Caenorhabditis elegans: one gene and its partner. The protein of the gene in region 2 purifies or fractionates together with the protein of the main gene of each other region. This does not show direct contact. Each region holds a gene or a part of one and is shown on either strand. Other genes may lie near its edges.

Region 1 (3,923 bases), on a different chromosome or scaffold from region 2:
AACGTTGAAAACGCGACGGTCTCCAAAATAATGCAAGCGTGCTCCACTGCGAATCCCCTGCTCATTTGCGCGCGCATTCAAATTTAGATTTCCCCGATTTATCGTGAAAATCGCTGCCATCTGACACCGCATTGCACCGAAGATGGCCAAAGATAACCAAAAAACCAATGAATCATTGGTCTATCGAAAATACATTATATTTTGTTGGGAGCAGCCCCACGAAAGCCACGAGAGCCCGCAAAAAGGTAAATATTGACTTAATATTTGTGGCGGTCTCTTACTTGGTTCCACTTACTTTTACCAATAGGCAGTTATTTTTGCGTTTTGTCGAAAAAATCGATATAATGTCTTATCCTGACGATTTCCCGATCCCTCATGTTATTCAGCCAGTTAAAGTGGTCCGGCACGTGGTGAAGGTGAGTTTTCAGTTTTTGAGCCCTAGAGGGGCTTTTCCCAAACAAAAAAAATTAATTTTTTTTCCAGGAAACACCTATAAAAACTCCGTACTTAGATGTTTGCCCAAAATGTCAGGTTGGTACAGTTTAGCTTTGAAAATTGAAAAATTAATTTTAAAAACAAGTTCCAACGAAAAATGCTCATATCTCTTGCGGCAATAGTGCTAACAAAAAGTTGTCAACTAATAAAATGTAGAACATAGAATTTGCAACAAATTACTAGTTGACAACTTTTTGTTAGCTATTCTCTCTGTCGAGTTACAGGAGTTTAAATGCACAGATAAGTTGAGGGTCTGTACCGTGAGCCTACTTTCACCCGCATTATCTTATGGATGAAAAATTTTTTTTTTTTAATTTTCAATAAAAAGCTGTAGATAATAAAATTTGCTACAATTTATCAATTAACGATTTTCTGATAAGTAAAATGAGAAAAAAGTTACAACAGTTTGAAATATTGTGGGAAAAATTCAAAAAATTAAAATTTCTAATTCTAAACTCTGATCGCTCATATCTCCACGGGGATTTATTTTATTGAAATTTTGTTACCTATCAAATTATAGAAAATTTAATTTTCTACAACATGTCAGTTAACAAATTTCTTGTATCTTTTGTATGCGCCGAGTTATACGTGTTTAAAGAGATGTGGTCTCTGAGAGCGCTCTGTATTTCCAAACTTTGATCGCTCATATCTCCGCGCCGGATAGCTTTATCAAATTTTTGCCAACTAACAAAATGTAGAAAATTGAATTTTCTACAACTTCCTAGTTAACAAATTTCACAAATAATTCGCATCTTCCTTCCAGACAACAATAATGACATCAGTAACAACACATATCGGAATGTGTTGGTGGCTTATTTGCTTCTTCGGAACCTTTTTATTCTGTTGGCCTATTCTCATTTGTCTGTGTTTTGATGTATCCAAGGATGTCGATCATAATTGTCCAAATTGCGGATTGTTACTTGCCACGTCGAATCGAGCCGGTTTTTAATTTTTAGAAACAGAAATTTCCAGAAATTTGTAAAACATGTATTTTTTTTTGTGACGGGCAATGAAGATTTTGAATTTTTTTGTTGGTATTTTGTTATCCCTTGACATTAAAAATTAACTGTAAGGCTTTTTTCAGTGCTTTCTGCCGTTCGGCAAATTCGACAAATCAGCAAATTGCCGGTTTGCCGACTTTGCCGGAAATTTTCAACTATGACAGTTTGCCGGATATCGACTTGCCGGAAATTTTTAGACGGATTTTTTATAAGACGGAAACATTTAAATCGGTCCTTTAAAAAAAATTTCCGTTTTCTTTAGAAATTTTCATTGAATTTGCTTACTTTTCAAAATAGCTGTAGGAACAGCCGATTTGCCAGAAATTTTCAATTCCGGCAACTTGCCAATTTGCCGATTTGACGGAAAAAATTGTATGCTGCCCATCCCTGAAAAATTAATATTCTGAAGTTTCCAAAAAAAAATGTGCAAAACCACAATTTGCCGAAAATTTTCGGCAATTGTAATCACAAGTAAAGTCACAAAAATAATCACAAGTAAAGTCACAGAAAAGACAGAAATCATGGAAAAGGGCAACCCTCTCACTTTCGCACACACTCTCCGCTCCATTACGTTGCCCTAGGGCTAGTTGGAAGTGTTGAGTTGTCCGATTGTGAAATTCCGTAGAGTATATAACAAAGAATGGGAAAAATGGTAAAGCAGATTAGATTTATCTGAAAAATGTCCTCTCCAGCTCCAAACTTCGTTTCCCACTCGGATCGCGTCAAGTCGGTGGACTTTCATTCTGAGAAGCCATGGATTTTGACTGCTTTGCACACTGGAAATGTTCAAATCTGGAATTATGACACTAAAACGTTGGTCAAGGCTATGGAGGTGAGTTAAAACGATTCTGATTTTTCAGTAAAGGAGGGGGTGTACTCTAGCTCTACTTACATAGGGGTGCTTATCTCAGCGGAGAGAAAATTTTTCAGAAAAATATCTACTAGCAAGTTATAGAAAATTTTAATTTCCCACATTTTCCAAATTGATCACTTTTCTATTTCAACTCTCCAGCCCCGATAAACTGGTTTTTACTAATTTTTTGAAACTTTTGTATTTTTTGGTTCTTTTTTTTCGGTCGTTTTTTATGGAATTTATGATCGACTTCGGAATGCCCAATTTTTCCTGACTTTTGACTTTTTTGACTTTTTTTTGGATTTTTCGGAATATCTGGGTATTTCTCTTTTCCCTCCCCCAGCCCCGCCTAAGCCTAAGACTAAGCCTATACGTAAGCCTAAACCTAAGCCTAAGCCTAAGCCTGAGCCTAAGCCTAAGCATAACCATAACCCGAAGCATAAGCCTAAGCCTAAGCCTAGGCATAAGCCTAATCCTACCCGAAGCGTAAGCCTAAGTCTAAGCCTACGCCTCAGCCTAAGCCTAAACTAGAACATTCACATTACATTTGCCAAGTTTTTCACCGTTTCAAAATTCATAAATTATATTTCCAGGTCTCCGAAAAATCCACGCGTGCCGCCAAATTCATCCATCGTAAAAACTGGATCGCCACCGCTTCCGATGATCAGCAAATCCGGATCTTCGACGCTGAAACGTTCAGCCTAATCAACGAGTTCACAGCTCACTCTGACTTTATTCGCTCCCTAACCGTGCACCCGACACTTCCCTACCTCATATCGGCTTCCGACGATCGTAAGATCCGAGTTTGGGATTGGGAAAACGAGTGGAGAATGGAGCAGGAATTCCAGGAGCATGCTCATTATATCATGCAAATTGCCGTGAACCCTGAAGACCCGGAGATGTTTGTCAGTGGATCGTTGGATAAAACTTTGAAAGTCTGGAAGCTCGGTGAGCAAGAGTCGATTTGCACTCTGGAGGGTCATGAGAAGGGGGTGAATTGTGTGGAGTTTCTGACCGGTGGGAGAATTGTTTCGGGCTCCGATGATTGCTCAATTTGTGTTTGGGATATTCAGGTGAGCGGGAATTTGAAGTTTTATAAACATGGTGCATCGAGCGGAAACACCACGCTTAACTTTAGGAGCTCGTATATCGCTGGTATTTTATTCTATCAAAATGTTGCTAATTGACAAAATATTCTTTGTTTGTTTCTCTATAATTTTGTAATTGACAACTATTTGATAAAGTCCAAACCAACCAAGATAAAAGTGGTCAAAGTTTAAAAAAAGACATGGTGCATCGGAACATTTTTCAGACCCAAAAATGCATTGAAACTCTAAAAAATGCTCACAAAAACAACGTTACCTTTGTCACCCCATTCAAGACATGGATTATCTCCGGAGCCGAGGATTCTACTGTAAAAATTTGGAATTCGCAGACTTTCTCGTGGGTTTCTTTAGCTCAACTTCAATAAAATAAATTCAAAACCTAAAACTTCAGATTGGAAAAGGAGTTGAATTTTGAGAAGGGAAGAGCTTGGTGTGTGGCTGCTGGAAAATCCGATGCAATTGCAGTTG
Region 2 (3,923 bases):
TACGAGCGACGAGTGTGCAACCAATTACTCCATTCTCCAGAACGAGAATAGTTTCTTTCAGATCGTTGGCTGTAATTACAACTTGATCGAGGTGTTTGATTTCAAACTTTGAAGAATGTGAACTGGTAATTTTCCAGTTGAAATAGACTGATTATGAGCATGTTTTAAAAAATCTACCTCTTCTCTCGAGAGCAGCCCAGACACTGGCTATAAGTGCAGATGAGACGTTTGATGCAACGGCTTTCTGTTCGCTTCCGACGTAGGCAAGGAGCAATCCTTCCTTATTGAAAAGCCACGAACCATCAACACCGCTTGTGTTCACCTGTCCGAGAACATCAACCAGCGCTTTCTGTTTCAGCATCTATTTTAAAGTTTTGGATTACGGTTACTAGTTAGAAAGTTTTAATTTTGAAAATAACCAAAGAGTACGGTAAAAACCGAGAATTAGAAAAAATATAATCGAAAAATTGAATGATGATTTGAATTTATTGGAACAGGTAGGGAACATATGGAGATCCGAAAAAACATTATTTTAGAAATAAGGAATAAAACAACAATTGACGATTAAGAAAACGTTTCAAATAAATAGAAAACAATTGGACACTATGTTTTATTCCGTCCATCTGTGCTGACAATCTTGCGATGCACATACATAGTACAATCTCATCTCTTCTTCTGCCTTTTTTGTTTGAGCCTGGAAGAAGACAGCCTTACTTTTGCCACAGACTGGACATTGATGTTCTTCAGTCTTCGGGAGCGTTGGATCGTGAATAATATCTCCGACGATTTGAGTGAGCTCACTGAAATAATCCAATTGATTTAGAAAATGAGTCAATTTGACAATGAACTTACTCAATTTCGTGAACGAGCTTATTCACATAGATACACGGGTTAGCGGCGACTTCACGATGCTCACAGTTCCGGCAGGAATACATCAAAACTCGTGATTCCTTATCCTCTCGTGGGTACAGCATATTATTGCTGAAGTTTAACAATTTTGATGTTTTTTTTCAAATTTTCATCATTTTGTCTTTATTATTAGCTTTGAGCCAGAGGTGGGTGCAATTTTCTTTCGGCAATTCTACAAAATGGCATATTGCGCCATTTTGTTCCAACATTTTTAGTTTAAAATTAGTATCAAAATATAGTAATTCAGTTGATTTTACTGAAAATAACATTATTTTCGGCTGAAAAACTTCAGAAAGTGCTTAAAAATGGCATGCAAGTTACCGATTTTCAAAAAAAAAAACAAAGCTCGATAATGTTCCAGCTGAAAATGATATTTCCAGTTAAATCAATTTAATTTCAATATTTTCACACTAATTTTAAATGAAAAATGTTGAAACAACAAGGCGCAATCGGCCACTTTGTGAAATTGCCGGAAATAATTTCCTAAATAATATAAAACTAATTACCATTCTGGGCAAAACTTGATTCCAACAAAACCAGGCCCACTTTTCCCGGGTTTTTCGTTTTGACTCGGCGCCGGTGATGCACCGTTTTGATCGTACATATCATCGTAATTATCATACCCTTGGCTCATCTTTCTGAAAAAATATGATAAAACATTTTCAAGCTTTGATTTTAATTGCAGATACATTAGTGGAATGGAAAACCACAAATAGCGAATCAAAAATGTGGAAAATAAAATAAAAATGCAATTTTTATTTACAAACCAACAGAGGAGAGATAAGATTATTCGAAGAAGGAAAACCGACCTTTCTAACTTTGTATATACATATAAAAAAGAATTCCATAAAATAAAGAAATGGGGGAATGATGCTAGCCATTTGATTCTAGAAGCTTTAAAGAGATAGGAGTGACAGTGGAATTATTGACAGGAACATGTAGAATATCGAAAAAGAAGTGAATTTAGTGAAAAAAGAGCATTTGAATTATTCATCCCAGTTAACCCATCCTTCTTCTTTCTTTTCGCTTTCAGGTCGAGGTGTCAATGGTCCCTTTTCGTCATCTTCGTCATTTGATGGAATTTCCTATAACTAGTTTGACATTGCTATCGATTTTCAATAATTGGGCAGCACTTTTAATAACATTTGGTGCAAATTTTTCGAAAAAAAAATTATGGTTCAGCGACAAAACGAACCTCAACATTCTTTTCACTGCAAACACTCCATTCAGATTGTGACGGACTCGTTGGCTCTTCTACAACCACTACAGACGATTCAGATGATGGTGATGATTTCTTTGATGATGTTCCAGATGATCCCTTTCTTTTCGATTTCTTTGGTGATTTTGTATCAACATTCAATGCCTCGGAGAGTGTCGACTTGTTCATTTCTTCCTCCATTTCAGCAACCTCGATAGCATAGAAATACCGTTTCCAGAATGTTTCATGATTGACACTGCCTGGAACAAGATTTGCAAACATTTGACGCAATGATGGATTGTTTGCAAGAAGAATATTGATCTCTCCGTCATATTCGTCTAAATTGAAGCGAGAAATCCATCTTTCATAAAATTCAGAATTTCCTGGTTCAGTGAGATAGATAGATTCGTTGGATTGAATTTCGGAGAGCTTCAATTTTGATAAACAAGTTTTTCTATCTTTCTTGGGCTTGATAGCTTCAGTAAAATCGTCTTCTCCGGTAGTGGTCTCTTCCATTGCCAAATTCTTGACCGTATCTGTAACCGTATCCACAATCTTAGTCATCCATCCAAAGCTCAGAGAGTTCGAGCTTTCCAGTTTTGGTTTCTCAGTTCCTGTTTTCTGTTCCGATGATTCACCATTATCGTCTCCTTCTCCTGGTAATGGTTTCTCTTCTTCATTCGGAGTCACAAGCTTCTCCAGCATCTGAGCTTGTTGTTTGACAGCATTTGCAGCAGTCCCGAAACCTTCTTTTGCAGCTGAAGCAAGATCGGTTACTTCAGCAGAGACGGCTTCACTCAAATCGTTCAAATCCTTTTTGACTAGGTCAAGAGTTGTCATCGTCTGAAATTTGTTTTTAGAAGGAATTTTCATTGTTTTTGTGAAGTAAAATAGGATAAAACACAATTATTGCGAAATTTAATTATGCACTTACCTTTTCCTTGGCAGAATTCAAAAATGATGCTCCCCAAGAGGAACCCTGGTTGAGCCATGAACTAGCAGCTCCAAATCCGCCAGCGAATCCGGAATCTTCCGTGGTTTTCGGTTTTTCCTCATCGGTTTCCTCGACTTTTACATCTTCGGGTTTTTCCGACATTCTCTGAAAAATGAGTGAATTAGCTGGAGAAAATGCCATGAGAAGGGACTCATTTATTGCACGGAATCTAATTTTCGAAAGAGGATGAAGAAACGAATGAGACGAGAAGATATCTGGAACAGAAAATGGAAAAATAGAAAAACAAAAGCAAAAAAAGGCTGAAATGGGAGAAAACACAGAGAAGACTCGGCTAAATGAGGCAGAGAAGGGAAGAGAAGAGAATGAAATCGTCATGTGCAGAGTTCGAATGGAGCGCGTTTGCAAATAACATACTCACATGGGTTTTTAGCTTTTCTTATGTAAATCATGGAAAGAATCAGATGACTTTTGAAATATTATGATTGGAAATCACACAGCTGTTCAAACAGATCGCGTGTTCATCGAGAGTTCACGGGAAAGAAATCATTCGTTGTCTTGAAGATGCTTTTATGTGACAAAATTCAAAGATAGTAAATACCATCTGGTTTTTTCCGAAACAAAAGAATCTGTAACTGAAAAAATTACACTGAAGTTACAGTTAAAATGTAAATGACAAAGAAGAGTTTATCTCAACACGCGATCTGAAACACTGAACCGAAGAGACATCGAAAATGAATAGAATTTGAACAGATCGCCATCGATTTGAGGGTCGATGAACACGGAGACACGACAAAAGAAGCTAATGATTTTCCTTTTGAAAATATTAGAAAATTTAATCTCTTCAGGAGTTTTCGGAACTTG

What was found.
Region 1: the proteins of rpb-9 (region 2) and Y41C4A.32 fractionate together in Caenorhabditis elegans (co-fractionation; one large-scale study listed by BioGRID). This does not show direct contact.

What each region holds. Positions count from the first base shown.
Region 1 is NC_003281.10:11,719,556-11,723,478, forward strand, and holds the start of Y41C4A.32 (Beta'-coat protein), read left to right. Parts: upstream 1-2,150; 5' UTR 2,151-2,175; coding exon 2,176-2,328; intron 2,329-2,703; exon of another isoform or gene 2,704-2,770; intron 2,771-2,942; coding exon 2,943-3,422; intron 3,423-3,661; coding exon 3,662-3,792; intron 3,793-3,846; coding exon 3,847-3,923. Other genes in the region: Y41C4A.11 (LITAF domain-containing protein), read left to right, coding at 345-416, 484-531, 1,259-1,444.
Region 2 is NC_003283.11:8,010,746-8,014,668, forward strand, and holds rpb-9 (DNA-directed RNA polymerase II subunit rpb-9), read right to left. Parts: upstream 1,601-3,923; coding exon 1,416-1,600; intron 982-1,415; coding exon 853-981; intron 801-852; coding exon 611-800; 3' UTR 468-610; downstream 1-467. Other genes in the region: lmtr-2 (Ragulator complex protein LAMTOR2 homolog), read right to left, coding at 1-69, 178-361; Y97E10AR.6 (BSD domain-containing protein), read right to left, coding at 1,896-1,994, 2,105-2,950, 3,042-3,203. UniProt on the Caenorhabditis elegans protein: DNA-dependent RNA polymerase catalyzes the transcription of DNA into RNA using the four ribonucleoside triphosphates as substrates. Component of RNA polymerase II which synthesizes mRNA precursors and many functional non-coding RNAs.